2 linked regions of the Elephas maximus indicus genome follow. The protein of the gene in region 2 interacts with the protein of the main gene of each other region in a biochemical or structural test. Links are inferred from orthologs where the notes say so. Each region holds a gene or a part of one and is shown on either strand. Other genes may lie near its edges. The genes, in order: RAB27A and SYTL4.

Region 1 (16,521 bases), on a different chromosome or scaffold from region 2:
TGAAATTGGCACAAGAATCAGAAGAGAAGAAAAATTAATACCACATGGAGTTGAATTGTAATAATTGTTTAGAGTTCCACTGAAAGTGTACATTGACTTAATAATCTGGTAAAACCTTCTCAAATACATTTTAAACATTAAAAACTCACAGGTACTTATTTAAAATGCTTTATTAAGGTAGCACTGTCAACGTTAATGTTTTCGTATTTTGCCATTTTACGTCTTTCTTCCAGGACACAGCAGTAATTTCCTTTAAGCAAAAATGAATGATCTTAAGTAATATTTTGTTTCCTAAAACCAAAAAACCTGTGACCATCGAGTCAGTTTCCACTCACTGCGACCCCGTAGGGCAGAGTACAACTGCCCCATTGGGTTTCCAAGGCTGTAATCTACGGAAGCAGACTGCCACATCTTTCTCCTGTGGAGTGACGGGGGGGTTCAAACTGCCAATCTTTCGGTTAGCAGATGAGTGTTTAACCACTGTGCCACCAGGGCTCCTTTCGTTTCATAGTCAGGGTTTATTTTTCTGAGAACATAGCGTATGCAGTTTCATGGGTGACAATCTAGGTATATGTAAAAGAGCAGGGAATGGTATTTATGATAGTGTTTGTAGATGAGGTGAACTAAGTTGACTACCTCAGATAGAAAGCCTCTCAATTAGCATATAGTTAGTCTGGTTTAATATATGTCAAGGTCCCTGGGTAGCACAAGTGGTTTGTGATTGGCTGCTAACCTAAAGGTTGGCAGTTTGAGCCCACACAGTGCATGTTGAAGAAAGACTTGGTGATATCCTTCTGTAAAAATTACAGCCAAAAAAACCCCGTGGAGCTGTTCCATTCCTTGACATGGGGTCACTGTGAGTCAGAATTGACTTGATGGCTACCGGTAATATACTTCAGTCGTCTTTTTCTCCCCGAGTGTTTTCTCAGCCTGAGTAGAATGGAGTAGTTGAGAATTGGGGTAGCTCAGATCAAGTTGAGTTTTAGAAAGGGTAGATTGCTTGGCAAATAAGACACAAATCTGTTTAACCTACTAAGGAAATTTGCATTAATAATTGTGGTAAGGAAAGAGTTAATATGTTATGAAACTATTCATATAGTTAAAGTATTTTTTGAAATTGCTAGGACCGATACTACTTTTAGCCCTATCAATGAGAGCTTTAAATGTAATCACATATGTGCAAAAGGCTTTATGTAATTCAGGAAATTTTTTATTATCGATGTTCTTTTTCTTTAAAGGTAAATTCATTATAACTTAATTTCAGCTATCTATGTTAAGTGGAGACCAGCATGGGTAATTTAAAAAAAGAAACGGACAAGGTGACGATTATCTTTATATATATTGATATAGCAGTTTTGTATGAGCTTTTGAGACTTTTTTCTGTACACATGAAAAATGTATCTACCATGTGATTTTTTTTTTTTTTTTTACCATGTGATAGGCCTGGCTTTGCTTGGCTACGGGTAAACTGGGATTCTGCTCTGTTTCTTTTCATCCTGAGTCCTAGGCTGAAGGATCAGCTCCTGTTTAGGGTATGAAAGAAGCACATACCCAAGAGAAATGAAACTCTGTGTCCACACAAAAACTTGAACATGAATGTTCATTGCAGCATTATCCATAATAGCCACAAGGTGAAAACAACCCAAATGTCCATCAACAGATGAATGGATAAACAAAATGTGGTATATACACATAATGGACACTCTTTTCTCAGACTCCTTTTTGGACTTCCCCTGTCCATGCCTTAAATGCTGGGTGTTCTCTGGGTTCTGTACTGTGCCCCTTCTTTGTACTCTAGTATACTTTGTAGACTAGCTCATCAATCCTGTTACCCGATTAGGGTCCGTGCCCTGGAGCAGTTGAGCCAGTGAAAGGTACTCCGAGTCAGGGTGAGAAAGTTTACCAAGGGGATGTACACGTCACTGGGGACCAGCAGCAACACAGGCTGTCTCTGGAGTCCCAAAGAGCAGTTTTACATTAGAGCTTATATAGAATTTTACAAGGGTTAGAAGTGTCTGTAGTCAGCAGATGGCGTGGCCAGAGGAGTTATTCATTACAAGATAGTGACAAAAGACTATCAGACTAAAGAGACACGTGCTAGACATCTCTTAATCAGGCTAAAGATACACATATCAGACACCTGGGCTTTTATTTCCCTGTGAGGGGTTGTAAGTCAGGTGGTCGGACAGAACAAAGTTATTTGCATCAGATTAAAACAGAACAAAGTAGTTAACAGAAGTATGTGAAGGAGGAGGCAGGCAGAGGAAAGAGAAAAATTGATAGGTTCATCATGGCTTTAGTTATGTCAAGCACTCAGTTGCACATTTTGAAAAGGAGAAAACACTCTGGGGAGTATCAGGGTCTCAACTCTCACATCTACTCTTTGGATATTAGCTCCAGCACCTGTCTTCCATTCTTAAGGTCAGCCTATTCCACTGCATACTGTGATGTTCTGCTGGTGCTGGGGAGTCAAACTTTAAATGTTCTAAACTGAATTCGTTATGTCATATTTCACCCTTCCTACTTGTTGCAACTGGGTTTTCTTCCTGTTGCTCAGTGGTTCATAGTTGCCCACACCAGAAACCTGGGCATCTCCAGGGTCTCCTCCTTCTCCCTCACCCCCTACAGCCAAGTCCTCTTGACTCACTTTCTAAATGGTTCTGTCCATTCATCTCCATCCTCACAGCCACTACCTTAACCAGGTCTTTATTTTCCCTTGCTTGGATTTCAGCATACCCATTCTTAGCCTTATAACCACTAAGAAAATATGTTCCAAGTTCTAGTCATGGCTCTGTCACTTTTTAACTGTATGATCTTGGTCAGTTGTTTCATGGCTTTAATACTCAGTTTCCTCATCTGTGATACGGAGAGAATAGTACCTACTTTATAGGGCAGTTGTGAGAAGTAAATGAGGTTATGCATGCAAAATTCTTTGCATATTGGCTGACTCATCATAAGTCATCAATAAACATTAGCAATTATTTCTCTGGAGTTCTTTATAACTCAGACCCTACTTATTTTTCCAATTTCTTCTCTGATTACTTCCTTCCAATAAATTTTTCAGCTTTTTAGAACTTCTTTCAGTTGCTTCAATGTCTCATGCTTTCTCTTCCTAGAGTTCTTCACCCTCTCATCCTATTCATCCTTATTAATTTGTACATCGCCTTCTCTGGGAGGTCTTGATTTGGTGTCACCTCTTCGAGTTCCAGTAACACTTTAACTTTCCTTTTCAGGGCCCTAGGAGTTCTGGGTGGCACAGATGGTTAAGTACTTGACCACTAGCTGAAAGACTGACAATTTGAACCCAGCCAGAGGTGCCTTGGAAGACAGGCCTGCTGATCTGCGTCCAAAAGTTCACAGCCTTTAAAACCCTACGGAGCAGTTTTACTCTGCACGTCTGGGGTCGCCATGAGTTGGAATCCATGGCACGTAACAACAATCAGGGTCCTTATCTTACTGGAGTTGCCTGCTTACATGTTGATCTTCTACTGTATGACTGTAAGCTCCCTGAGGGCAACGACCAGTTTACCTTGTTCACTATTGCATCCCTAGTACCTAACACAGTGCCTGTATTATTGAATGAATGAGTGATGAATGGACTGCAGCATCACTGCCCATTTTCTGAAATCCTGTCTGGTTGACTCCTGGCCACAAGCCTTGCCTTGCTAGGGTGGTGGTGGGGGAGTGGCTGTCCCTGTATCACATCAGCCATTGGCAATTACTATATTGTTGGTCCCTCAGACCTTAGCTCTCAGTGACTCTCAGATCTCTTCCTCTAGACAGGAACGTGGTTACTCCTGTTAACCTCCACAAACAATGTGATGACTCTTCTCACACAGAAAACAGCCCTTGAAACCATCACCCTATGATGAATCCTGTTCTCTCTAACCCTAAGATCACTATTACGTTTGTCTGTAATACTGACAGTTTTACATGATCCATGCTATGTGTGAGGGGCCAGTCCCTGGAAAAGGACACCATGCTTGGTAAAGTGGGTCAGTGAAAGAGAGGAAGACCCTCAACGAGATGGATTGATGCAATATCTGCAACAATGAACTCAAGCACAGCAAAGATAATGAGGATGTCGCAGGAAGAGTATTTCTTTCTGTGGTACGCTGTTAGGTGGTGTCGAGTCGGTTCCGACTCATTGCGACCCTGTGCACAACAGAGTGAAACACTGCCAGTTCCTGCACCATCCTCACAATTATTGTTATGCTTGAGCTCGTTGTTGAAGCCAATGTGTCAGTCCACCTCACTGAGGGTCTTCCTCTTACCTGCTGACCCTGTACTCTGCCAAGCATGATGTCCCTCTCCAGGGACCGATCCCTCCTGACAACATGTCCAAAGTATGTAAGATGCAGTCTTGCCATCTTCGCTTCTAAGGAGCATTCTGGTTGCACTTCTTCCAAGACAGATTTGTTCATCCTTTTGGCAGTCCATGGTATATTCAATATTTTTTGCCAGCGCCACAATTCAAAGGCATCAATTCTCCTTCGATCTTCCTTATTCATTGCTCGGCTTTCCCATGCATATGATGCGATTAAAAATACCATGGCTTGGGTCAGGTGCACCTTAGTCTTCAAGGTGACATCTTTGCTTTTTAACACTTCCAAGAGGTCCTTTGCAGCAGATTTACCCAATGCAGTGCATCCTTTGCTTGCTTGACTGCTGCTTCCATGGCTGCAGTTGCCTGTTTTGAAAAGGAGAAAACATGCTGGGGAGTATTAGGGTCACAACTCTCAATCTACCCTTTGGGTATTAGACATAGGGTCACTATAAGTCGGAACAAACTCAACAGTACCTAACAACAGTAAATATGAGATTTGGTAAATTGGGTACATATCTGAGAAAATAGCACTTCCATAATGGGAACTGAGTAACTGTCGACCCAGAAGAACGATAGGTTTGGAATTTGTGGTGGAAGTTGACACATATCAACGGACGTTTTGTAAGAGAAGCTGGACTAAGGCTTCCAACCAATTCGTTTTGCCTATAGGGTTGCTCGGAAACCCTGGTGGTGTAGTGGATAAGCGCTATGGCTGCTAACCAAGAGGTTGGCTGTTCAGATCCACCAGGCACTCCTTGGAAACGTTATAGAGCAGTTCTACTCTGTCCTACTGGGTCGCTATGAGTCGGAATTGACTGCAATGGTTTTTTTTTTTTTTTTTTTTTTTTTAATATGGTCACTGTGAGTCCTGTGTATGTACAGGTTCTTCATGAGCACAATTAAGTGTTCTGGAATTTCCATTCTTTGCAGTATTATCCACAACTTGTTATGATCCACACAGTTGAATGCCTTAGTGTAGTCAATAAGACACAGGTAAACATCTTTCTGGAATTCTCTGCTTTCAGCCAAGATCCATCTGACATCAGCAGTAATATCCCTGGTTTCACATCCTCTTCTGAATCCGGCCTGAATTTCTGGCAGTTCCCTGTCGATATACTGAAAGATCTTCTGCAATATTTTACTTGCATGTGATATTAATGATATTGTTCGATAATTTCTGCATTTGGTTAGATCACCTTTCTTGGGAATAAGCATAAATACGGATCTCTTGAAGTCAGTTGGCCAGGTAGGTGTCCTCCAAATTTCATGGCATAGATGAGTGAGCAGTTTCAGAGCTGCATCTGTTTGTTGAAACTTCTTGATTGGTATTTTGTCAATTCCTGGAGCCCTGTTTTTCACTAATGCCTTCAGTGCAGCTTGGACTTCTTCCTTCAGTACCGTCAGTTCCTGATCACACGCTACCTCGCGAAACGGTTGAACATCGTCCAATTCTTTATACCATCTTCTTTTGATGCTTCCTGTATCGTTAAATATTTTCCCCATAGAATCCTTCACTATTGTAACTCGAGGTTTCAATTTTTTCTTCAGCTCTTTCAGCTTGAGAAATTCCTGGTGTGTTCTTCCCTTTTGGTTTTCTATCTCCAGCTCTTTGCACATGTCATTATAATACTTGACTTTGTCTTCTTGAGCTACCCTTTGAAATCTTCTGTTCACTTCTTTTACTTCATCATTTCTTCCTTTTGCTTTAGCTATTCGACATTCAAGAGCAAGTTTCAGAGTCTCTTACATCTATTCTGGTCTTTTCTTTCTTTCCTGTCTTTTTAATGACCTCTTGCTTTCTTCATGTATGATGTCCTTGCTCAATTTGTCTGGTCTTTGGCCATTAGTGTTCAACACATTGAATCTATTCTTGAAATGGTCTCTAAATTCAGGTGGGATATACTGAAGTTTGTACTTTGGCTCTTGTGGACTTGTTCTAATTTTCTTTAGTTTCAGCTTGAACTTGCATATGAGCAATTGATGGTCTGTTCCACAGTTGGCCCCAGGCCTTGTTCTGACCAGTGATACTGAGTTTTTCCGTCGTCTCTTTCCACAGATGTAGTCAGTTTGATTCCTGTGTATTCCATCTGGTGAGGTCCATGTGTATAGTTGCTGTTTATGTTGGTGAAAGAAGGTATTTGCAGTGAAGAAGTCATTGGTCTTGCAAAATTCTGTCATGCAATCTCCAGCATTATTCCTGTCACCAAAGCCATATCTCCAACTACTGATCCTTCTTCTTTGTTTCCAACTTTCACATTCCAATCGCCAGTAATTATCAATGCATCCTGACTATATGTTTCATCAATTTCAGATTGCACAAGCTGATAAAAATCTTCAATTGCTTCATCTTTGGCCTTAGTGGTTGGTGCGTAAATTTGAATAATAGTTGAATTAACTGGTTTTCCTTGTAGGCATTTGGGTATTATCCTATCACTGACAGTGTTGTACTTCAGGATAGATCTTGAAATGTTCTTTTTAACAGTGAATGCAGCGCCATTTCTCTTCAAATTGTCATTCCTGGCGTAGTAGACTATATGATTGTCTGATTCAAAATGGCCAATACCAGTCCATTTCAGCTCACTAATGCCTAGGATATTAATGTTTATGCGTTCCATTTCATTTTTGACAATTTCCGATTTTCCTAGATTCATACTTCGCACATTCCAGGTTCCGATTATTAATGGATGTTTGCAGCTGTTTCTTCTCATTTTGAGTCGTGCCACATCAGCAAGTGAAGGTCCTGAAAGCTCTACTCCATCCACGTCATTAAGGTCAACTCTACTTTGAGGAGGCAGCTCTTCCCTAGTCATCTTTTGAGTGCCTTCCAACCTGGGGGGCTCATCATCCAGCACTATATCACACAATGTTCTGCTGCTATTCATAAGGTTTTCACTGGCTAATGCTTTTCAGAAGTAGACTGCTGGGTCGTCTTCCTAGTCTGTCTTAGTCTGGAAGCTCAGCTGAAACCTGTCTACCATGGGTGACCCTACTGGTATCTGAATACCGGTGGCATAGCTTTCAGCATCACAGCAACGTGCAAGACCCCACAGTACAGCAAATTGACAGAGATGTGTTTGGACAGAAAAAAGGGATACTGCGTGGTTTAAAGTCAGGAAAGATGTGCGTCAGGATTGTATCCTTTCACCATACCTATTCAATCTGTATGCAGAGGAAATAATCCAAGAAGCTGGACTATATGAAGAAGAACAGGGCATCTGGATTGGTGGAAGACTCATCAACAACCCGCATTATGCAGATGACACAACTTTGCTGAAAGTGAAGAGGACTTGAAGCACTTACTGATCAAGAAAGATTAAAGAGCACAGCCTTCATTATGGATTGCGCCTCAACATAAAGAAAACAAAAATCCTCACAACTGGACCAATAAGCAGCATCATGATAAGTGGCGAAAAGATTGAAGTTGTCAAGGATTTCATTTTGCTTGGATCCACAGTCAACACCCATGGAAGCAGCAGCCAAGAAATCAAACGACACATTGCATTGGGCAAAGCTGCTGCAAAAGACCTCTTTAAAGTGTTGAAAAGCAAAGATGTCACCTTGAAGACTAAGGTGCACCTGACCCAAGCCACGGTATACATCATATGCATGTGAAAGCTTGAGGATGAATAAGGAAGACAGAAGAATTGATGCCTTTAAATACTGAATATACCATAGACTGCCAAAAGGATGAACAAATCTGTCTTGGAAGAAGTACAACCAGAATGCTCCTTAGACGCAAGGATGGTAAGACTGAGTCTTACATACTTTGGACATGTTGTCAGGAGGGATCAGTCCCTGGAGAAGGACATCATGCTTGGTCAGCGAGAAAGAGGAAGACCCTCAAGGAGATGGATTGATACAGTGACTGCAACAATGGGCTCAAGCGTAACAAAGATTGTGGGCGAGGCGCAGGACTGGGCAGTGTTTGCTTCTGTTGTACATAGGGTCGCTATTAGTAGGAACCAAGTGTAAGGCACCTAACAACAGCAACAACATGAATTGGAATCAACCGAGGGCCACAGGTTTGGCTTTGTTTTTAAGAAGGAATTATTTGGTTCAGAGGTGCTTTGCCTGTGAGGCCAGGAGGTGGGCTCAGTAGTCAGTGTTCAGACCTCTGGGCTACTGGAGGAGGAGCTTGGCTTCCTCTGGCTGGGAACCAGGTGGTCTGACCTGCTTCACAGCTACAGGTCTGGGAGGGTGGGGGCCTGCAGGCTCCCCCCCACAAAGGCCGGCACCGAGAGAAAGAAGCCGCTGGGTGGCAGCAAAGGCTCACAGGTTCCTCCTGTGTGCGGAGGCTCTAGGTCTCTTGCTTCTGTAATTGCTCTAACAGTTTTAGAAATTGAGTGGTTTTAGAATCCGAGTTAGATGGTGTGAGGAGAGACCCCGTTAGTTACTTCCTCCTAGAATTATATTTTTTCCTGACAAAATTTTGCTTCGTTATTCCTGTGGCTGTCCCCGGCTTGGGGAAGGCCATACCCAGCCTGAGCCGCGTGGGGAGCTGCAGGGCGGGAGGGACAGTGGCCGGTTGGCACCTCTGGCTACTAGGGTGCTGGCCCCAGCCCGACGCGCTGAAAACACCTAGAAAATGGCTTTGGGGAGGAGTTCCGCGAGAGTCACTGAGTACCTTGTAAATGTCGCCCCTTGTTCTCAAAACCGATCCCTGCCCCGGCTGACCTTGCACGCCTTCCAGAAAAGGTCAGTGGAGACCTGGCTTGGGACAAATGTGGCGAACAGGGTCCTCTCGTGGCTCGTAAGAGGACCCCGAGGTGGAGTCCTTTGCTGCTTCCTCGGCAGAGTGTCCCTGGGCAGGTGCCGCCTGCCCCGCGAGGAGGGCGCGGGCAGAGGACCTTCAGGGGCGGATAACCCGTGAGCGAGGTACCACGGGCTTACGTGTGCGTACTTACTAATCTGTAGTGCACAGCTTCACCTGTTTTTCACCATACCTTTAAAACCCATGTGAAATGGCGCACCTCGGGTTAGTAAGTACGCACACGTAAGCCCCTGTGTACCTCGCTTCCTGTTCCTCCGTCCAGGTCCCTCTCCCGGCCCAGAGTCGGCGGGGTGCCCCCAGAGGTGACGGGAGGAAGCGGGAGGTGGAAGGAAGAGGAGGTCCCGCCCCACCTCGCTCTCCTTTACGGGAAGTGATGTGGGGCCAGACGGAAAATACCCGCCAACTACCCAAAATCGGGGGACGCGGCTGCCGGAGACAGAGGCGCACTGGACGGCGGCCGAGCCAGGTGAGCCAGGTGGGGGCGCTGGGCAGGGAGGCGGGCTTGGGGCTGGAGGCTGTCACCTCTTTTCGCTCCTGGGGATTTGATCCCTCCAGAAAAGTTGCTTTGCGTCTCCCGGGCCAGCGGACAGAGCCCAGCGGTGACCACCGCCGGGGTGGCGGGGGGTCAGCCGGGGCGAGGGCGCAGTCCCAGCTCGGGCGGGGTCTGCGATCGCTTCCAGGTGGGCATCCAGGTGCAAGGGACCCCTGGGGGGTAAGGAAACGTCACCGGTGGGAGAGGAGGAGGTCCAGGTTTTTCCTAACCGCTCACCTTCTTTCTCCTTTTTCTTTTTTCAGTTTAATTATTTAACGTCTTTACACTTTTGTTGGTTGGTAAACGTCGGGGCGGCAAGCTAGCTGGGTGAAGTAGTTGCTCTTTTTCCTGTCAGTCCTGCAGAAAACCCTACCAGGCAGCCAGGCCTTGGGTCTGGACTCACAGTAGGCTGATGTGCTGACAGGTTTCAGTAATTATTGCCAAAGCCTTGTCTGTGTCCCCATAGACCACCGATTAAGCAAAGTAAGGCCCGAAGTGAAGGAAACCTGTGAGTCCTTGACTTCTCCGCCTGTCGGTCCCTGCTGGCCAGCTGGCCCACGTGGCCCCCAAGCTTGTGCTGCAGGAGCCTCTTCTTTACCAGGTGCGGGCTAACAGCTGTTCTTCCTTCCTGGATGAATTGTCACTTGGACTGTGGAAGTTTTAGGGTGGGGGAGGGAGTGAACATATGCCATACTATTATTGCTGACTTATTTTGTTGGTGCTCTACTACTCCTGTTCCTTCTTTTCAGCTCTCCTAAGAATTTGCTGTAGTGGGAAAAGACCCTGATATTAGCCTTAACGCAGTCTGCAAAACAGGATTTCTGCAGATGATTAGAAATGAAGAAGGGCTGTTACTAAAAAGCTTAGAGGACCTGACTGAGCGCCGTTCTTTTCTGTATTTATGTTGCCTGCCTGCTTGTATCCTCCCTCTTCGTATTTTTTCCTTCTTTTTTAACTTTCTGTGGCATGCCTTAGTTTTTAAGTTTGATGAGGTTCTGTTGATCTGTTTTTTTCTTTTGTTACTTGTGCTTTTGGTGGCATATCTAAGAAGCCATTGCCTAATTCAAAGTCAGAAGATTTGCACTATGTTTTCTAGGTGTTTTGTAACTTTAGCTACTACGTTTAAGTCTTTAATCCATTTTGAGTTAATTTTTGCATATGGTGTGAGGTAGGAGTCCAACTTTATTCTGATTCATGTGGCTATCCAGCTGTCCCCTCACCGTTTTGTTGAAAAGGCTGTTTTTTCCTGCATTGTATTGTCTTGGCACCCTTGTCGAGACTCAGTTGAGGGTAAATGTGAGGGTATTTCTGCACTCTCAGTTCTGTTCCTTTGATCCGTGTGCTTATCCTGTGCTGGTAGCACGCTGTCTGGATTGCTCTTGGTTTGTGGTTCATTTTGAACTTGGGAAGTGTGAGTCCTCCAAATTTGCTCTTCTTTTTCAAGATCGTTGTGGCTGTTTTGAATCCCGTGAGTTTCCATATGAATTTAGAACCAGCTTGGCAATTTCTGCTCCCTTGGTTCTAGATCAGATACAGGAATTTTGAAGTAAGTAGCAATCTCTAGGAACTGGACTCTTAATCTTCCCCTCTGTAGTCTGCTTTTCCCTTTGTATTCTCCATCTCAGTAAATGGCAAATTCTCTCTTGCTCAGGCTAAACGTCCTGGACCCATCCTTCATTCCATTCTTTCTGTCATACCCCTCATCTAATCCCTCAGCAAGTCCTATTGCTTCTACCTTGAGGATGTATCTAGAACATAACCATTTCTCACCACTCCCATTGCTTTTATAAAGCTCATGCCATCTCTGTCACCTGGGTAATTATTGCAAGGCTCCTAAAGGGCCTCCCTACTTCCACTCTGGCCACTCTACACTGCAGCCAGACTGAGCCTTTTAATACTTAAATCAGTAATGCCACCCATACTCTGTTCAATATTCTCCAGTAGCTTGTTATCTCAGAGGAGAAAAGCAGTCCTCATCATGGCCAACCCCTCACGTGGTGTGTGGCTCTCTCTGTTTTAACCTTCTGTCACTCTTCCCTCTGCTTACTCTGCTCCACTCACAATGGCTTTCTTGCAGTTCCTTGAGCATGCATTCGCCTCAGGATTTTGCACTTGCTGTTCCCGCTGCCTGGAATGCTGTTCCCTCAAATGCATGGCTTTTTCACTTATTTCATTAAGATCAAAAGTAATTTCTTTGAAGAGGCCTTGGCTATCTGAAACAGCATCACTCTCCCATTACTTTTTGCCGCCTTATCTTGCCTTGTTTTTCTTCCGAATAGAACACTAACTGTCATGAGAAGCACACAGATAGATAGGTGGGTGGGTGGATGGATGAATGATGACAGATAGATAGATCGATAGTACTGTGTATATCCTAATGCTAGAATATAAGCTCCACGAAGGCCAGGAATTCGTCCCTGTGGTGTGGTGTCCCTAGCACTTAGAATGCTTTCTCACACATTGCACTCAATAAATGAATGAAAAGGGAATGGAGGACTGAGAAATGAGGATCACCGTACTGTTTTTTTTCTCACTAGTCCTTCTCACTTTATCTGTAAGAGAAATGGCCTCAGATATGTCAGTGTCTCTGAAGCCTTTCTTCTTCTAGCATCTTATTTCCCCCAAGATAACAGCCTTACGCTCCTTGGAGAGGGAAAGGTCAAATGAGTACAAAGATGAAGGCTTTTTGGTCTTTTTCCTGGTGGCAGCAGGGAGCCCTCTGCTTTGCAGCCTGGGCTGACTGGACAGGGCCGTGCAGCACCCGTCTCTGGTGCTTTGGCCTCTTGTGCTGATCGAGGCAGAGAGTGAGGTTCTTTGAAGTTAAAGGAAATAGAAATTCATTTCTTACTGAATATCTTGCAGTATAGTCATTAATCTTTCTCTGGTTTTTAACAGAAATTGCTAACTCTGAGCCTGATTTCGGCATTTAATTACACACTGCTTTGGACTGTCAACTGTTAGGTATATGTTTGTCCATGGCTAGATTTTAACATTTTGGAGGCAGAACATGACTTCAGCTTATTTTTGAGTCTTATCTTGCAAGAAATCTTGGACAAAATAAGTGTTCAGTAAACTCTGAATGTATCGATAAGTTAATGGGTAAACCTGGAGTTTATTTTCATCGTTGGAAACTTCTAGCACGTATATTTAATTTCTCTTAGTCACTAGCTGCCAGTATCTTGTTATAGTCCACCATCCTGCCACTGACGAAAGGACGGCATTGCTGCAGTTGAGTGTGGTTTCCCACAGCGCTTTCCCAGTGAGAATTAAATTAATTGGCTTAGGGAATATGGTAATTAACTCTCTACGTTATTTTTTATTTATTTTTATTTTATCCTATTTTTTTATTGAACTTTAGGTGAAGGTTTACAGAACAAACTAGTTTCTCATCAGTCAGTACATACGTTGTTGTATGACATTGGTTAAGAACCCCACCACGTGTTAACACTCTCCCTTCTCAACCCGGGGTTCCCTATTACCAGCTTTCCTGTTCCCTCCTACTTTATAGTCCCCACCCCAGGGCTGGTGTTCCCCTTTAGTCTTATTTTGTTCCATGGGCCTGTTCAATCTTTGGCTGAAGGGTAAGCCTCAGGAGTGGCCTCATTACTGAGCTGAAAGGGTGTTCAGGGGCCATACTCTCAGGGTTTCTCCAGTCTCTGTCAGGCCAGCAAGCCTGGTGTTTCTTCCTTAGAATTTTGTTCTGCATTTTTCTCTAGCTCTGTCCGGGACCCTTTCTTGTGATCCCTGTGAGAGCAGTCAGTGGTGGTAGCCGAGCACCATTTAATTATACAGGACTCAGTCTGGTGTAGGCTGTGGTAGTTGTGGTCCATTAGTCCTTTGGACTAATCTTTCCCTTGTGTCTTTAGTTTTCTTCATTCTTCCTTGCTCCCGAAGGGGTGAGACCAGTGGAGTATCCTGGCGGCCACTCATAGGCTTTTAAGACCCCAGGTGTTACTTGCCAAAGTAGAATGTGGAACATTTTCTTTATGAACTCTGTTATATCAGTTGAGCTAGATGTTCCCTGAGACCATGGTCCCCACAGCCCTCAGCCCAGCAATTTGGTCCCTCGGGGAATTTGGATGTGTCTATAAAAAAAAATTTTTTTTTTTTTATGGAGCTACCATGGAAACCCTGGTGGTGTAGTGGTTAAGTGCTACGGCTGCTAACAAAAGGGTCGGCAGTTCGAATCCGCCAGGCGCTCCTTGGAAACTGTATGGGGCAGTTCTATCCTGTCCTATAGGGTCGCTATGAGTCAGAATCGACTCGATGGCACTGGGTTTGGTTTTGGTTTTACAGAGCTACCATGGCCCTGCCTTGTACAGGCTGTGCTGGCTTCCCCTGTATTGTGCACTGTCTTAACCTTCACCAAAATTGCCATTTATCTATTGTTTTTCCATCCCCACCCTTGCCCTCTCTCATAACCATCAAAGATTGCTTCTTTTTGTATATAAACCTTTTCATGAGTTCTTACAGTAATGGTCACATACGATATTTGACCTTTCGTGAATGACTTATTTTACTCAGCATAATGCCCTCCACATTCATCCATGTTATAAGATGCTTCACAGATTCACCACTGTTCTTTATCGTTGTGTAATACTCCATTGTGTATAGGTACCGCAATTTGTTTATCCATTCATCTGTTGATGGGCATCTAGGTTGTTTCCGTCTTTTTGCTTTTGTGAACAGTGCTGCAGTGAACATGGGTGTGCATCTGTCTATTTGTGTGATGACTCTTATTTCTCGAGGATATATTCTTAGGAGTGGGATTGCTAGATCATATGGTATCTATGTTATTTTTTAAACTGAATCTGCCTTCTGATGTTTTTTAAGCTTGTCTTGGAATGTGCCTTATTACAAAATATGAAAGAATTGTTCTTACACATATGTGTGTGTGTAATGTTCTCCTAAGAAATTAATAGGTCTAATTCCTTCTGAAAAATAAAACGGGGTTTGCAGGTTTAAAGTCTGAGCTCCTAAGAAGCAAAATTGTCTTGCCGTTGTTAAAACAAGATGCGTTTCTGAAGAGAGTGGTTCTCCCTCCCGCAGCCTTTGCTTTTTATGACCAGTGCAGGTTTTGCTGGAGCCATGTTTGTTGCTCTGCCTCTTGCTCGGGAGATGTGAGTTTATGATCTGGTTTCCCTTAAGCTGATTACCTTGGGAGTAGCATGAACACTGAGTTGGAGGCAGGGATAAAGGTTTTTAATTCACTTTACGCTCACCGCATGAGGCGTGTGGAATAGTGAGCACCCAGCTTGTCTTGGCCTCACTGTCTGGTCAGGCTGTACTCTCGTGGGCACACCATGTTCACTTTCCCGTACAACTGAGGTCTGGTAACACTCCTGTCTTACCTACTGTCAAGTAAAGTTAGATGCCTAACTTGCTCAAGAGGAATGCTGGAAGATTTATTCCTCTTTTCCTGCTTTTTTTTTTTTTTTGCCTCTGTCTGTGTTACCCTTGAGCCCAAAGAAGGCCTCTCATTTGGTGCCTCAGCCATGCACCACTAAAGTATATGGAACCAGACTTTTTGGCTCTTAAAACTGAACGTTTGATGTGGGGTCAGAGGCAGGGTTGCCAGATTTACCAAATTAAGAAAAAGTTAAATTTGCATTTAGATAAACAGCAAATTTTTTTTTTCACTATTAGTATGTCCCATGCAGTATTTGGGGCATACTTACACTAACAAAATATGCAATATTTGAGACACAATTATGTTAAAAATACTCATCGTTTGAATTGCAAATTTAACTGGACGTCCTGTATTTTATCGGGCAACCCTAGTCGGCGGTCAGGTTTGTGCACAGGAAATGCATTAATTGTGATAACGTCTGAAGAATGACCAAGCATTGTATATTCGTCTCAAGGAAGGAAGGAGAGGACTTGTCAACTCAGGGAGTATTAAAACTAGAAGGAAGTTTGAGAGCATTTAGTTTTATGTCTTTTATAGTTAAGGACATTCACATCCAGAGAGGTTAAGCCACTTGGCCAAAGCCACACAGAGGTGGTGGCAGAGCTAGAACTAGAGCTCCGGGTCCAGTGGTGGGTCTGCTGTGCTGACTTTTCCCTTAGGAGAGCAGGTGCAAGTTGCTTGTGTTTCAGTGTTAACCCTTAGCCACTCCGTTGTCATCCACCTGTGGTCACTTCTGTGCTGTCCTTCGTCCCCCATGTGCCAGACAAAGCCATTCTTGTGAGACACCTTTGGTTTTCCTGACTGCCACGTGGCTGTTGAAAGACACCGTTTGGATGTATTCCTTGTTATGATGCCAGAAGCTTGTAGTTCAATGTGTTTTTACTTGTTTTAAAGTCTTACTAATATTTTAGTTCCTTTTTCAGTTTTTATTACAAGGTTCTTTCTTTAAGTAGACATACCAAGAGTAATTCTACGACAATCGAATGCTGTCTTATCGAAAGCCTGCTTGCTTTGAGCAGCCTAACCAAAAACAAAAAAACAAACCCTTTGCCTGTCAAGTCGATTCCGACTCATAGTGACTGTATAGGACAGACTAGACCTGCCCCATAGGGTTTCCAAGGAGCAGCTGGTGGATTCAAACTGCCGATGTTTTGGTCAGCAGCCAAGCTCTTTAACCACTGTGCCACCAGGGGTCCTTGAACAGTCTACCCCTCTAAAATTCCCTTGTATTTTAATAAGGTAAATATGGAAGATATATGGCAAGTATCAAAATAGATAGGTAGGTATATATGACTTGTCCCTTAGAAATGTGTCCTTTTTAAACACTGGATTGTTTTACTGTAATTATTTTTAAAATTCTATTTATTTTGCTGTTGTTGTTGTTGTAAATATACACATCAAAACATACACCAATTCAACAGTTTCTACATGTCCAATTCCGTGACATTGACTATATTCTTTGATTTGTGCAACCATTCTCA
Region 2 (15,930 bases):
GGGTCAAGCAATAAAAACGTAGTCAGAGCCCTGGGCAGATCAACATATATATATATGAAGAGGGGGAGAGAGAGATTTATCTCAAGGAAATTGCTCATGCAGTTGTAGAGGCTGGCAAGTCCTAAGTCCGTAGGTCAGCCGTCAGGCTGGAGGCTTCTCCTGACTCATGCAGCCTCAGGGGTTGACGAATCCAAGATCAGCGGGTCAGACGGTAAGCTGCTGGCTCATGGGCTGTGGAGGCTGATGAATCCCAAGACTGGCAGGCAATATGGCAGGCAGCTAGCTCAAGTCTCATGAAACCAGAGGTCAGATGATGATGAGCCAGATGCAGGATCCAGAGTAAGCAAGCAAGCTTGGCCAGAACACCCATATATATATATATATATATATATATATATATATATATATATATATATCGGATGCAGGCCACACTCCTGAGGAAACTCCCCTTACAACTGATTGGCTGACTGCATCAGATCCTATCATGAAGGATGACTACATCATTACATAACTGACAAATTACATCATTGCATAACTGTCAGGCTACATCATTACATTACTGCCAAACCACAGAGAATCGTGGCTCAGCCAAGTCGACACACAACCATAAGCATCACAGTAGGTAAAGAAAGGAGCTCAAAGAAGATCAAAAAGAAATGACCAGCGTGTTCCCAGAGCGGAGGGAGAAGGGAGAGAAGGATGGTTAAAGGTTTTAAACGTGGGAAGAAAGATCTACTAAAAACAAGGAGAGATAAGTATCCAATAGACAAAGACCAAGTACAGAGATGGGAAGAAAAAAAAAAAGGTTCACCCTTACTGGTAATAATTTTTTTTTAATGTTTGCTTATCAACTCAGCAAAATTTAAAAGAGACAGTATTCAATTTTTAAAAAAAAGGGAACATAGGAGAGGTACTTTCATGCATTATTGACCAATGTAAATTGGTAAAATCTGTTAGAAAGCAATGTGACATTTGATTACTAAAAAGCTGAACTTCATAAAACTTATCACAAATGCAATGAAATCATTATGTGGTTCATTGTTTAACATATGCCTCTCCTGCTGAAGTAAACTCCAGGAAAAAAAAGACCTTTGTCTTATTCTCTGTTGTATCTCAAGCATCTAGTCCAGAGGCTGGGACAGTTTAGGCCCTCAGTAAATCAACCGGTACTTTCTGATAAGTTGCAAGCAAGAGTTTAAAGACACTGATACTAAAGCTATTATGATCCCTGAAGTAGTAGAGCTAAAAACAAGAAGCAGTGTAAATGCCATGGAAATTTTCCATCTCAAGAATTACTCAAGTTCAAGATAGGTTTAGTCACAGATACGAGAGCAACAGTGGTCCATCATTTCAATTATTCTTCTGCCAGCACCCTCCAATCTCCTGCCCCCCCCATATATTCCTGTCACAGCCACCTAGAAAAATCCCCTAAACTAGATGGTCCACATTCTGTTTCTACAACTGAGCTGATGAGTGCTGCTGGAGAGAATGGATACAGGGTTCTGTAAGCTGGAGTCAAGACAAATCAAGTTATCCAGGCCTTTTGTGGCTCATTATAAGGGGGTTATCTAAATGCTATACGTTTAAAGAGCTCCTTTTTCATCCATCTCAAATACCATTCCAATCCTTCACTACTATTGTCAGGTGGGACTTCCCCAAAATCCTGCCCCTCCACAGCTCCTTTGTTCTCAGCAACTTCACAGATCCTGCCCTCTTTCTCTCCCAGCTCAGTGGAAGAGCTACCTCCCTTTCTCTAAGGCCAGACTTTTCACCCCTCCTGCTTCCCTGGGGACTTTGCGTCATCAAGCTCTCCACCATCTAGACATAAATGGGCTCTTCTCTCTCCTATATTTTACAACAACAGCAACCTTTTCTGGCCCCCTGCGCCCTACTGTCTATAAGAAACACTCTCTCCTCACCATAGCCAAGCCTCTTTCAAAGTGTATACCATATTCCCTAATGGTCCTCATCACTCTCCACCCCTCTACAATCTGCCTTGTCTCCTCCTGCTGCACTGATGTTGTCACTGACCTCCTAATTGCCAAATCTAATGATCATGTTTTTTAAATGTTTTATAGTGTGTTTTATCTGATTATGAGAGGGGTACACATCATGAACAAAGTTATGACACATGACAGACTGGAGAGAGAGAGAAAAAAACTTGTACTATAGAAAAGGCAATAGGTAAACATCTCTAATAAATATAGTGTTCTTACAAACAAATTAAATACATAACCCAAAAGAAAAATGTGCAAAGGATATGAAGGAGCAAGTCTCAGGAACAATACAAACAGCTAATACACATGAAAAGATGCTCAGCCTCACTAATGGTCAGAGAAATGAAGGGTAAATCAGTTAAATACAATTTTTCACCGATCAGGTTGGCAAAAATTGAAAAGACTGTCCATCATCAGCAAGGATATGAGGGAAAGCACTCTCAGTGGTGAGAGTGTAAACTCTTTTGGGTGTCACTCTGGCGGTGCCTACTCAAATTTTTAAAAGTACATATCCCTTCACTGAGAACTTCTCCTTCTAGGGAGCTATACCACAGAAACGTGTGTGTGTGTGTGTTTTTGTGTGTGTGTGTATCCTTGAGCACTGTGCAAGAATGTTCATTGCAGCCTTGTGGTTGCTTGGAGTGGGTGATATGCAGAGGAAATGGAGACATGTGGCAGAATAAATGATATATTTTGAAGATAATGTTGACAGCACTTCCTGATGAACTGGATGTGGGGTTGGGAGAATAAGAGAAACCAAGGGTGACCCTCAGTCCTTGGACTGAGCAACTGAATGGATGATAGTGCCGTTTCACTGAGATGGGAGAGGATGAAGGGAGGGACTAGTGACAGGGGGGGAATCAGGAGTTCTGTTTCAGTTATATTATGTTTGAGATCTCTATTTGGCATCCAAGTAGAGATGCTGACTAGGCTATTGGATATATGTCTAGGACTTAGAGAAAAGGCCTAGGTTAGAGACATAAATTTTGGAGTGATCAGTGTATAGATAGACATCATTTAAAGCCATGGAGCTGGATGAGATCCTCTGGGAAGATTTTGGATGGAGAAGAATCTACAGACTGAGACCCCTGGGTCACTCCAATGTTTAGAGGAGAAAAATTTATCAGAAGACGAAACTAAGCAGAATTTTGTTGTTGTTGTTTGTTTTTTAAACAAATTTGGGAGATAAATTTATCAGAAGAGGAAACCAAGCACAATTTTGTTGTTGTTGTTTGTTTTTTAACAAATTCAAATTTCAAAAACATTAATGTTTATCAAATGGTGGAGAATCATATATTTACCACCTTAGGAAGGGTCCAACTCCTTCCAAGCCTGTCTTTTGAGGGATTCTGGCCTGGTTTTTTTCTTTTTTTTTTTTTTGGTGGGGGGTAGTCCCTGGGTGGCATGAATGGTTAAGTGCTCAGCTACTAACCATTCAAGATTGGTGGTTTGAACCCACCCAGAGGTGCCTCAGAAGAAAGGCCTGGTGGTCTGCTTCCAAAAGGTCACAGCCTTGAAAACCCTATGGAACCTGCCTACCACCATCAACTGCTCTGACTGTGATCACAATAAAGGGTCCGGACAAAGCGGGAGAAAAATGTACAACAGAATTCACAAAAAAGACCCGATTTACTGGTCTGAGAGAGACTGGAGGAACCCCTGAGACTAGGAACCCCTGAGACTAGGGACCCCAGACACCCTTCTAACTCAGAACTGAAGCCACTCCCAGAGTTCACCTTTCTGTCAAAGATTAGAGAGGCCTAGAAAACAAACAATAACACAGGTGAGGAACGTGCTCCTTAGATCAATCAAGTCTATGAAACCAAACGGACAACACCTGCCCAAAAGCAAAGATGAGATGGCAGGAAGGGACACGAAAACTGGACAAATGGAAACAGGGAACCCGGGGTAGAAAGGGGGAGAGTGCTGACACACTGTGGAGATGTCAACCAATGTCACGAAAGAATTTGTGTATAAATTTTTTGAGTGAGAAACTAATTTGCTCTGTAAACTTTCACCTAAAGTGCAGGTGCGCGCGTGCACGCACACGCGCGCACACACACACACACACACAGCCTATAGAGTGCAGTTCTACTCTGACACACATGAGGTCACCATGAGTCAGAATCAACTCCACAGCAGCTGGTTTGGTTTGGTTTGGTTTGGGGCCTTTTTTCTTTCTGAATATTTAAAAACATTTAAACAGAAAAGAGTAATTTTTTTTTCTTTTATGTTACTTAGTAGTTTCCTCACACGGCGTAATTATCCTAGTACAAAAACTGTCAAACTAAACAAGTAGCATTCATTCAGCTATGGCTTTTCTGTAAAGTTCATAACCCAATAACCACTTCATGCCTAAAGGTGTAAGAGTGACTTTATTGGGAGGCAAGAAACCTAATCTGTGGCATCTTATAAGGTCCCTGGGTGGCACAAGTAGTTTGTGATGTCTGCTAACCAAAAGATTGGTAGCTCAAACCCACCCAGCAGTGCCATGGAAGAAAGGCCTGGCAATCTGCTTCTGTAAAGATGACAGACAAGAAAACCCTACGGAGCAATGTTATTCTATAACACTTGGGGTCACTGTGAGTTAAAATCGACTCAAAGGCAACGGTCTTGGTTTTTTGGTTTTTAGAGTCTTTTCAGCTATTCACTTCCCAGACCACACAGTAACTTTTCTCCAGCATCCTACTGAGAAACCAAATGCCTGTGAAAGGCCTCAAGACATCTGATAATCCACACTGCCCGCTTCAGCACAGACCCCTTCCTACCAACAAGACCCAGTGCCGTTGAGTCGAGAAGCACAGCATTTTCACTTTTCGAAGTTTCCACCAGAGACCTATGCTTTAAAATAGGAGAGAGGAAGCGCTGCCAACTAGGTCAAAGTGGTCATCAGGAATGCAATCTCAAAGTAAAACTCAACAGAAGGAAAGCTATGTGAGAACTGGGTGTGGGGTACCCTCACAGCTGTAGGGCGATAAACTGGGTAAGCTTAGTTTCAGGTCCAGGAGAGTACAAAAGAGTGCCAATTCATATAACAGTAATGTCATTCATTAATTCATTTAACAAATATTAGTAAGTACCTAAAGAAAATTTTTTTTTTATGATGTGTCAGGCTGTCTTCTGGGTGCTGGGATCTACCAGTGAATAAAACAGACAGAAATCCCTGCCCACATGAAGTTTATGTGATAGTGGGAGGAGACAGACAATAAGAAAAATGAATAAAATACACACAGTATGCTACATTAGAGTAATAAGGTAGGGAAGGGAGATCTCGAATGTTCACGGAAGGGGTTGCAATTTTAAAAACAGCAAAGGTCTCACTGAGAAGGTGACATTTAAGTACAAACGCTTAGCTGCAGGATTTTAAGTGCCTCAGGAAGGTGTCTTTTGTAGTTTACCAGATCTCAGGTCCTTTAGGGCACTGTGTCCCCAGTTCCTAGCACAAACATTTGTTAATCCCTTGTGCTTAGGACAAATTGAGCTCTGAGATCCAGACCTTGCCCTTAAAGAAGTAACAACCTTTCAGGTGAAAAAACAACTAGGAGAGGTGTTAAGGACTCCACTGAGGTGTAAACAAAGTGCTTTAGGACACAGAAAAACCCTTTCAAGGTCCAATTACTTTCTGTTTTTTTGATACCATGTGTTTTCATTAATGGAAGCATGCTGAGTCATAAAACAAAAAACCAAACCTGTTGCTGGCTACTTGGTTCTGACTCATAGTGACCATACAGGACAGAGGAGAACTGCCCCATATGGTTTCCATGGAGTGGCTGGTGGATTCGAACTGCTGACCTTTTGGTTAGCAGCCTGAGCTCTTAACCACTGTGCCACCAGGGCTCCATGTTGAGTCGTGGAGTGTGTTTACATTTTTGGTGGATTTGAACTACCAACCCTTTGGTTAGCAGTTGTAGCACCTAACCACTATGACACCAGGGTTTCCGGTTTTCCAAATATGACACACACACAAGCAAAAAAAAAAAAAACCAAAACCCATCAGGGCTCCCTATCACACAGGAAACCATAAAAATTTTTACAAGGCTTATCTAGGGGTACAAAAGCCAAAAGGGATAAAATTTTTACCCAATCATACTTCCTGATTGCACTACCTAACTCAGAAGCCTCATACCCCAGCTATTTTGCTTCAACTAACATTTCTTTCATCTTTCTCCATTATGCAAGTCCCCACTGGAGGGCAGCAAATACTTTTAGCAGTAAAAGTATACAACCAAAGAACCTGAAAGCCGGAAAAAGTGGGTGATACACCATATATACCATGAACCATGAAGGACATAACTAGTAATTCTGCCTGGGTGTTCAGTGAAATTGTATCAAAGGAGGTGACTTTAGATAAGCCTAACCCTAACCTCCAGAGAAGCTAAATCTTGAGAGATGAATACAAATTAATGACTGGGTGTAAGTAAGGGGTGGCGTGCTAGCTTTTCAGGAAGAAGAAAAAAAAAAGGAACAATGTGAGCAAAGACCCAGAGATGGGATCATATTATCCCTGCTTTTTTTTTTTAACCATACCCATCAAGTCGATTCTGACTCATAGACGGATCCTATAGGACAGAGTAGAACTGGCCCATAGGGTTTCCAAGGAGCAGCTGATGGATTCAAACTACCAACCTTTTGGTTATCAGCCACAGCTCTTAACCACTGCACCAGGACCAGGGCTCCCTGCCTAAGGTAACCTATTCATCCCAGGATAAAACAAGCACACAGTCTCCCTCAGGCTCTCTGGCCTGGCTGTTGGGAAGTTCTTATCACCTACCGCACCCTTGTTTCTCCCCTCGCCAGCAGGAAAGGAAAATGTTGATCCAGGAGCACATCCCTAGAATCCAGGGTTACCTTCTCCTATCTTCAGGACAATCACTACTGAGCTGAGAGCCTGGGAGGTTTCATTCATCTGGGTACACTCAGGGGTGTGTGCTTATGGTGGCAACATGACAAGTGGTCCCACATTTGGAGCAAGGTGGGTAAATAAATCAGTGAAATAAGTGGTCCAGAATCACCACAGTGTATCTAAGGTAAGTTAAGGACCAAAATTTATGCTTCAGTGTGGAAGGAAAATTTTTAGTCACAGTCTTCACCCACGAGCTATTAGCATTCCTAACATCTAAGATGGTAGAGGTGGTATGACAGAGGATAGGAACACAAACTCTGTGGTCAGATGGCCCAGCTCAGCCCCTCATCAGCTGGGTGATTTGGGGCAAGGTACTCAAGCTCTCAGAGTCTTCTTTTCATCATAATATGGTTATAATTATAGTGCCTACCACATAGAGTTATCTTGAGGATTATATGAGATAGTTATGTAAAGAACTTATCACAGTGCCTGGCTCAATGAATTCTAACAACCATTATTAGTAACAGCCTTTAAGGAGAAAAAACTCAGAGAACATTCACCAGAATGCTACATACACTCACAGACCAATTACTCCAGAAGAGGCATCTAACCTCCATTTCACTCATCTGTTCTGGAGTGAGGCACCTGAAATGGTATTACCAGAAATGTTCATCCTCTGCCCAAGAAAAGCCTCACAAGCCAAGTTGGTGTTTTTTTTTTTTTATATACTAAGATTTCCAGCTGGTGCTAAATACATGTACTTATAGATCTACATACACTGCATCTGGGCCTCACCTCTGCATTAAACATTGCTCTAGCCACAGATCATCGGGGTAAACAAATTAGATCATTAATGCCTTAATGTTAATGGATTTGTGAGGGGTGCAAGAGCAGAAAAGAAGCCAGTTAAATATAGGAGATCCAGGATATACTGAAGACTAAGTTCTGCCACAAATGTACAAGGTCTAGGGTCAACCCTGCCAAAAGCAGTATTCTGGAATGCTAGGTCCTCTGGTCCAGAAGAAGCAGGGAGAAAAAGAAAAGGTTGGTTAATGAAAAGCAGGTGCCTTTTTAAGCCACCAGCGTTCAAACCAAATGATTTCACCACCAAAAAACTCCCAACCATCTCATTCAAAGTGAAGGACTGGAGGAACACCTTTTCTGCCCCATTACAAACCATCACAGGAGACAGAAACGTTCTGTGTCCCACTCTGAGGGCTCTGGAACGTTTCTCCAGGAGCAAACTCCTGAAACCTGCTTGAAGATTGGCAAGATAAAGCACTTGGGCTCCAGAGCACACAGCCCGGGTCCCCAGCCCCAAGCGCAGAGGGAGCCCACTAAGGCAGGACTCGGGGCCAACTGGCCTCCAGCCTTTACCTGCGGAGGACAAGCCGAGGCGAGGGCAGCCGACGCCGCGAGGTCCGCGGTCCGGAGTCAGGGTAGGGCAGAGACGGCCGAGCGCTGCGGGAGGAACCGACGGAAGGGTGACTCGACGCCTCCGAGGGCGCCGCTCCCGCTAGGAGCTCAGCCCTACCCCCGCCCCTAAGGCTTGCTTGCGGGAGGGGCACCGGCTCCGGCGGGCGGGAAAAGCTGGGACACTCGGTGGGAGCGGAGACCCCCAGGAGGCAGAGCCCAGAGGGCAACAGCACGCGTTAGCGACGGGTGGGCCAGGGGAAGGGGACCAGAACAGGCCTGGGAGAAAAAAAAAAAACTCGTGGGAGGGGATCGCCCCAAGCAGATCGGACTCAACGTGTGGGGGGAGCGGTCCGGAGGGGCGGACAGGGGAGAGGAGACAGGCGGTCTGCTAGGGGCAAGTATAGACAGGGAGAAGCAAAGGGGGATAGGGAAGGACGCAGGTCCCTGAGATGGGGGTGGGGGGACGCTTTGGCAGCGAATAGGGGCTGGGGGCCCAGAAGGAGCACCGGACCGAGGGCTCAGGGCCGCTGGCTGCGGACCTACCTGTCACCTGCAACAGGTGCCGCGAGAAGGCGAGACGTCCCAGTGCTGGATTCAGGGGAGGGTCTCCAGCTCCTGGAAGATTGCCACCCCGCTCTTGCGGCCGGCCCTTCTCACCCTCCAGGGAGGCGGAAAAAGCTGCAACTTTCCCTGGAGCGGGGAGGAGCTGCACTCTTAAAGGGGCCGCACAGCGCTCCGGGCTCCTAAGTAGGGGACCGCTCCCCTAAAGGGGAGCTTGGGGAGCCAGAGTCTTAAGACACTTGTAGAGTGTGTCCTCCCAGGCTAGGAAAAAAGACCTTGAGACTGAGGACAGGGGTCTAAGATTAGACATCTGTGATCACTTTCTTAGATGGTAAAATCATCTACCTCTTCCGCTCAGCTGAGCCAAAGTTGTCAAATTGTCGCGTACTTCCAAGAATACGAAGACTCTGGACTATATAATTCGGGAGGATAAAATGTGACACCATTCTGATCCTTTGACTTTCGGCCTTTTATGGTAAGTAACAGTGGTTAAAATACAAACGTGTTGGGCAAAGAACATAGACGAAATTCACACTCACACACACGGACACAACTGGTTAAAATATTAAACTCACTAGTAATCAAATAAGAACAAAAATGAGATTCTTTGGCAAAGGTTTATATTATTGCTATTTTAACACTTAATGATGACAAAGTGGCCACCAAACAAGGTCTCTCATACTTGCTGGTTGGAGTGTAGGTTAGTAAAAAAAAACTTAGAAAATAAAGCACGGGAGCAATATATATCAGTAGACTTTAAAATGTTCCTATCTACCCAGTAATTGTAGATTTCACTCTCTCTCTCTCATTCTCCTCCTCTCCCTCCCTATCTCCTCTCCTCCATCCTTCCCTCTCTTAAGTCACTTAAATGCTCAAGTCTCTCTCATCTGTCATCAGCAATTACACAGTGTTCAAGTCTCTGCCATCTTAAAAAATAAAATATCCTTCCTACTCTCCAGCTCCTTTTCATACGCAAATTTATTGAAAATGTACTTTACAGGTACATTTGCTATTTCCATTCCCTTCTCATTCATTTCTCAACCCTCAGCAATCTGGCTTCCTTCCCCAACACTCTGCTGAAACTGTGCAGCAAAAGATATCCAACCAATAGGGTACTTTCAGGCCTTGTCTTGCTGACCTCTCCATGGCATTTAACACTGTTAACCATTCCCTCCTCCTTGAAACTCTTCCTGTAGCATCTATGACCCCATACGCCTTTGCCTTACGTCCTACCCCTTTGTCCCCTCCTCAGTCTCCTTTGTAGGTTCCACTTCTGCTATCTGACCTCTAAAAGTTGGAGGTTCTCAGGCTACATATACTCTCTCCCTAAATGATCTTTTCACTCACTTAGCTTTAATTAATATATACACGGCCACAGCTGTAATCATATTGTTCTACATAGACCTCTTCACTGACCTCTGCTTTCTTGACACCTCCACTTGGATGTCTTGCAGGCACCTCAAAGTCAATACATCCAAAACTGAATCCACCATCTTCTCTATTATATTTGCTCTTTCTCCGACGTTTGCTATCTCACTTAATGAAAACATGCCACTCAAGGCCGAAACCTGACAGCTAGTATACTACCTGGCTCATAGTAGGCCCTCAATAAATATTTGTTTAATGAATGAATGAATGTGTCCCAAGGAAACAGAGACGTACACAAGATTTTTGTACAATGATGTTAATCCCAGCATTCCTTAGAATAATAAAATACTAGGAAAAAACCTAAGGGTTTAATACCTACCTACCCATTGCTGTGGAGTTGATTCCAACTCATAGCGACCCTATAGGACAGAGTAGAACTGCCCCATAGGGTTTCCAAGGAGCAGCTGGTGGATTTGAACTGCCGACCTTTTGGGTAGCATCCAAAGCTCTTAACCACTACGCCACCAGGGCTCCAATGGTTTAATAGTTAAGTTAATTACAGTATTTTCATACAGCGCAATACTATATAGCAAAAAAAAAAAACAACTCATTTTATACATAGTGCACAATGACAGGGAAATGCATATACTATAATATTAATTGAAAGTAAGATACAAAATTTAATATATAAGATGATCACAACAATTAACAAAAATGAGGAAGATGATATGCATAGAAAAAAAGACTAGTAGGAAATATGCCAAAATATTAACAGTGGCTGTCTCTAGGTGGTGGAATTGAATGAATTTTTAGTTTTCCTCCTGCTTCTATATATTTTTCAAGTTTTTTATAATGAGCTTGTATGGCTTTGATAATATGAAAAAATAATTTTTTTAATATTATAAAGAGAAAGAAAAGAAAATTTTTAATTTTTAAAAGACTAAAGAGTAGAATTCCACTCCCAGGCTCTACCTGGAGTTCTCTTCCCTACTTTAGCCCTTCAATTCCCTGCCCCCAGCCTGAAGTGTAGAAGAGCCATTTCAAAAAGCAAATCCTTTTTTTTTTTTTTTGTCTGTCTAGTTTTGCCAATTCAGCCCTTGGGGCCCATTTGCTCAGCCCTGGGCTTTTAATGTGTTCCATGTCCCAAACCGGGAAGGAGGGGAGGAAGTTCCAGGCTCTTGTCTTGCCCTGGGCTGTGGGAACTCAGACCAAGCATTTCTCTGTTCCTACTTCACCTGGGGTGCTTGAGGGAAGCTGGTAACACCCTCAACCAGAAGGGACTTCAGAAAACACGTAGTCCAACCTCCTTATTCCTCAGCAAATTGCAAAATTTCCAGATATTATTTTAAGCTTTTACTTCTTTCTACATATGCAGTGTCCCACTCTCCAAGGTTGGCCTCTTCTCTAAGACAATCTCACTGACTCAGTTACAAATACACAGAGAGAGACAAACAGAAACAATGAACCAAAACAAAGTTAGGAAATGGCTGGTTTACATGCATTCTGTGCTCTGCATACTGTTGCCCAGTTTGATCCTCCTCCTCTGTCACAAGGATTCTATGCTCAAATTCTTATACTAAATATTGTGAGGGATCCAATGTGACCAAACTCAGGTACTACCTTGTACAAAAATGTAAGCAGGAATTTATGGATTATCATCTTATGTATAGTATGTAAACTCCTGTTCCATAGTGAATGATTGGTTTCAATGAGTTGTTCGATTTTGCCACGTTGAAGGAGTTCTAGCTAGTGCAAACTAATAAGACGGAGATTTTCCACAGCCCTAGCTGACAAGATGCCTCATTATTGAACAATTACTTTTTTAAAAAAAAAAAAGTGTTAACTATTTCAAAAAATACATGGATCTATAAAGAATACTATAACAAGGACACGCTCACTACCCAGCTTAAGAAACAAGGCAATATCAATACAATTTAAGCCTCTTGCATCCTCCATCTGAGGCTTTCACCATCCCAGATCTGGCCTTCATCATTTCCATGCATGTCTTTATACATTTACTACATATTTGTCTATCACTAAGTAAAAAAAAAAATGTAGTTTTTAAACACTTTATATAAATAGTATGTAGCTTCTGATATTTGCTTTTTTCACTCAGCGTTATGCTTATGAGATTTATCCATGTTGATATATGTAGTTCTAATTTATTCATTTTCACTGCTGTAGACCATTCCAGGGCATAAACATATTGCAATTTATGTAACTGTTTTTCTGTTGATCAGATACTTTTTTAATTGACAAAGTCTTAAATCCCAGATACAGGGGCCCTCCCTCTTTACCTCATGTTAGGTAAGTTTGCTTTTGTAAAAACAAAACAAAAATAAAAGCAGGTTTCCTCACAAAGCAAATTTAGTGCACTAGTGATCTACAGTGAGTACAGGATGTAAAAAGTAGATTCAGTCTCTCAGTCAGTCAAAATCACAATTTCTCAACCTCTGCACTATTGACATTTTAAACCAAATCATTATTGTGGGGGCTGTGTCCTGTGCATCATGGGATGTTTAGCACAATCCTTGGCCTTTACCCACTGGATGACAGTAGCAACACTCCCAGCACTCCCAGTTGTGACAAACAAAAATGTCTCCAGATATTTCCAAGTATCCTGGATTAAGAATCATTGGTCAAGATATACTTGTTAGGTGCTGTCAAGTTGGTTTTGACCCACAGTGACCCTATGCACAACAGAACAAAACACTGCCCAGTCCTGTTATATGCAAAGCATTTTAGTAGGTGCTATAGGAAGAGCACCTACTAAAATGCTTTGCATATAATGAATGCTTAGTATATCTTGACCAGTGGTTCTTAATCCAGGACATTTGGCAATACCAAATGTCTGGAAATGTTTTTGGTTGTCACAACTGGGAGTGCTGGGGGTGTTGCTCCTGGCATCTATTGGGTAGAGTCGCTGTAGGAGGAAGAGGACCCCTGGTGGCACAGTGGTTAAGAGCTTGGCTGCTAACCAAAAGGTCAGAAGTTCGAATACACCAGCCACTCCTTAGAAACCCTATGGGGTAGTTCTACTCTGTCCTATAGGGTTGCTATGAGTCAGAACAAACTTGATGGCAATGGGCTTGTTTTTCTTTTTTTTTTTAATAAGAAGAAGATGTGATAGAAGATGAACAAACACTGAAAAAAGGTCACTCATTCAAAGATAGGTATTGAGCATCTACTAGTACAAAGTATATGGTACTAGGCACTGGGCTTTTGGTGATCCTTGTCCTCAAGGAGCTCACAGTTTATGGGGGTGGAGGAAAACCACAAACATAAAATTACAGAACCTTGTGGGAAGTGCAAAGCTAGAGAGATGCACAGACTGTGTGGGCGCACCTAGGATGACCACTTATGGCAGTCTGGTGGGTCAGTGAAGGGTCTCTGCAAGAGGATGCTTCTCTAAATCTGGAAGGATGATTAGAAATTAGCTAGGACAAAAAGGAGGAAAGGCATTCTAAGCAGAATAATAGCATAAGCAAGAGGAAAAAGGCTAGAAACACTGGTATATGCAAAGGATGTATAAGGTGTAGCCAGAGAATAAAATTTAACAAAAAAAGTGATGATTGCTGAGGCTAGAAAGATCGTCAGGGGCTACATCTTCAGAGGCCTGTGAGTCATCTGAAACAATTTGTATTTTATCCAGTAGCTAATGACAGCCATTCGAGGAGAAAAAAAAAAAAAACCTGTTGCCATCAAGTCGATTCCGACTCATAGCTACGCTATAGGACAGAGGAGAACTTCCCCATAGGGTTTCCAAGACTGTAATCTTTATGGAAGCAGACTGCAAAACCTTTCTCCCACAGAGCTACTGGTGGATTCAAACCCCCGACCTTTTGGTTACCAGCCAAGGGCTTAACCACTACACCACCAGGGTTTCTTTGAAGTTCCCTACTCTGCCATTTTTCGTGATGTTACTTTTTTTTTCATTTTTGTGACTAAATAATACTCGTTTATGGATATGCCATATTTTGTGTATACATTCATCAGTTCATGGATATTTTGGTTGTGTCAACATTTTGGCTATCATGAATAATGCCCATCACTTACCTATCATTTTGTTGTACTGTGTTAGCTTGCATGTTGCTGTGATGCTGGAAGCTATGCCACCGGTATTTCTAACAGGACAGGTTTCAGTGGAGCTTCCAGACTAAGACAGACTAGGAAGAAGGGCCTGGCGATTTACTTCTAAAAAAATAGGCCAGTGAAAACTTTATGAATAGCAGCAGAACATTGTCTCATATAGTGCTGGAAGATAGCCCCTCAGGTTGGAAGGCACTCAAAATAGGACCAGGGAAGAGCTGCCTCATCATATTAGAGTCTACCTTAATGATGGAGTCACACTTTCAGGACCTTCATTTGCTGATGTGGCATGACTCCAAATGAGAAGAAACAGCTGCAAACACTCATTAACAATAGGAACGTGCAACACACGAAGAATGAATCTAGGAAAGTTGGAAGCTGTCAAAAATGAAATGGAATGCTTAAAGATAGATATCCTAGGCATTAGTGACCTGAAATGGACTGATACTGGTCATTTTGAATTAGACAATCATCATATGTTGTACTATGCAAGGAATGACAATTCGAAGAGGAATGGTGTTGCATTCATTGTCAAAAAGAACATTTCAAGATCTATGCTGAAGTACAATGTTGTCAGTGATAGGATAATGTCCATACGCTTACAAGGAAAACCAGTTAATACTACTCTTATTCAAATTTACCCACCAATGACTAATGTCAAAGATGAAGAAATTAAAGATTTTTACCAGCTTCTGCAGTCTGAAATTGACCAAACATGCAATCAAGATGCATTGATAATTACTGATGATTGGAATGCAAAAGCTGGAAACAAAGAACAAGAACCAGTAGTGGAAAATATGGCTTTTGTGATAGAAACAATGCTGGAGACTGCATGATAGAATTTTGCAAGACCGATGACCTATTCATTGGAAATACTTTTTTCCAACAACATAAACAGTGACTATACATGTGGACCTGGTTGGATGTGATATACAAGAATCAAATCAACTACATCTGTGGAAAGAGTCAATGGAGAAGCTCAATACCATTAGTCAGAACAAGGCCAGGGGCTGACTGCAAAACGGACCATCAATTGCTCATATGCAAGTTCAAGTTGAAGCTGAAGAAAATTAAAACAAGACCAAGAGAGCCAAAGTACTACCTTGAGAATATCCTGCCTGAATTTTAAGACCATCTCAAGAATAGATTTGGTATGTTGAACACTAATGACCAAAGACCAGGCAAGTTATGGAATGACATTGAAGACATCGTACATGAAGAAAGCAAGAGGCCATTAAAAAAACAGGAAAGAAAGAAAAGACCAAAATGGATGTCAGAAGAGACTCTGAAAGCTGCTCTTAAATGTCGAATAGCTGAAGCGAAAGGAAGAAATGATGAAGTAAAACAGCTGAACAGAAGATTTCAAAGCTTGGCCCCAGAACGCAAAGAAAAGTGTTATAATGAGATGTGCAGAGTACTGGAGTTAGAAAACCAAAAGGGAAGAACACGCTCAGCATTTCTCAAGCTGAAAGAACTAAAGAAAAAATTCAAGCCTTGAGTTGCAATATTGAAGGATTCTCTGGGCAAAATGTTGATCAATGCAGGAAGCATCAAAAGAAGATGGAAGGAATACATAGAATCACCATACCAAAAAGAATGGGTTGATGTACAACCATTTCAGGAGGTAGCTTGTGATCAAGAAAAGATGGCACTAAA

What was found.
Region 1: the proteins of SYTL4 (region 2) and RAB27A form a complex in vitro, tested with the Homo sapiens proteins (2 studies listed by BioGRID). The link is inferred for Elephas maximus indicus from reciprocal best matches to the Homo sapiens genes SYTL4 and RAB27A.

Annotation. Positions count from the first base shown.
Region 1 is NC_064831.1:45,761,510-45,778,030, reverse strand, and holds the start of RAB27A (ras-related protein Rab-27A), read left to right. Parts: upstream 1-9,475; 5' UTR 9,476-9,564; intron 9,565-16,521. Other genes in the region: protein PIGBOS1, read left to right, coding at 1-38. UniProt on the Homo sapiens protein: Small GTPase which cycles between active GTP-bound and inactive GDP-bound states. In its active state, binds to a variety of effector proteins to regulate homeostasis of late endocytic pathway, including endosomal positioning, maturation and secretion.
Region 2 is NC_064846.1:57,578,200-57,594,129, reverse strand, and holds the start of SYTL4 (synaptotagmin-like protein 4), read right to left. Parts: upstream 8,929-15,930; 5' UTR 8,800-8,928; intron 8,302-8,799; 5' UTR 8,218-8,301; intron 1-8,217. UniProt on the Homo sapiens protein: Modulates exocytosis of dense-core granules and secretion of hormones in the pancreas and the pituitary. Interacts with vesicles containing negatively charged phospholipids in a Ca(2+)-independent manner.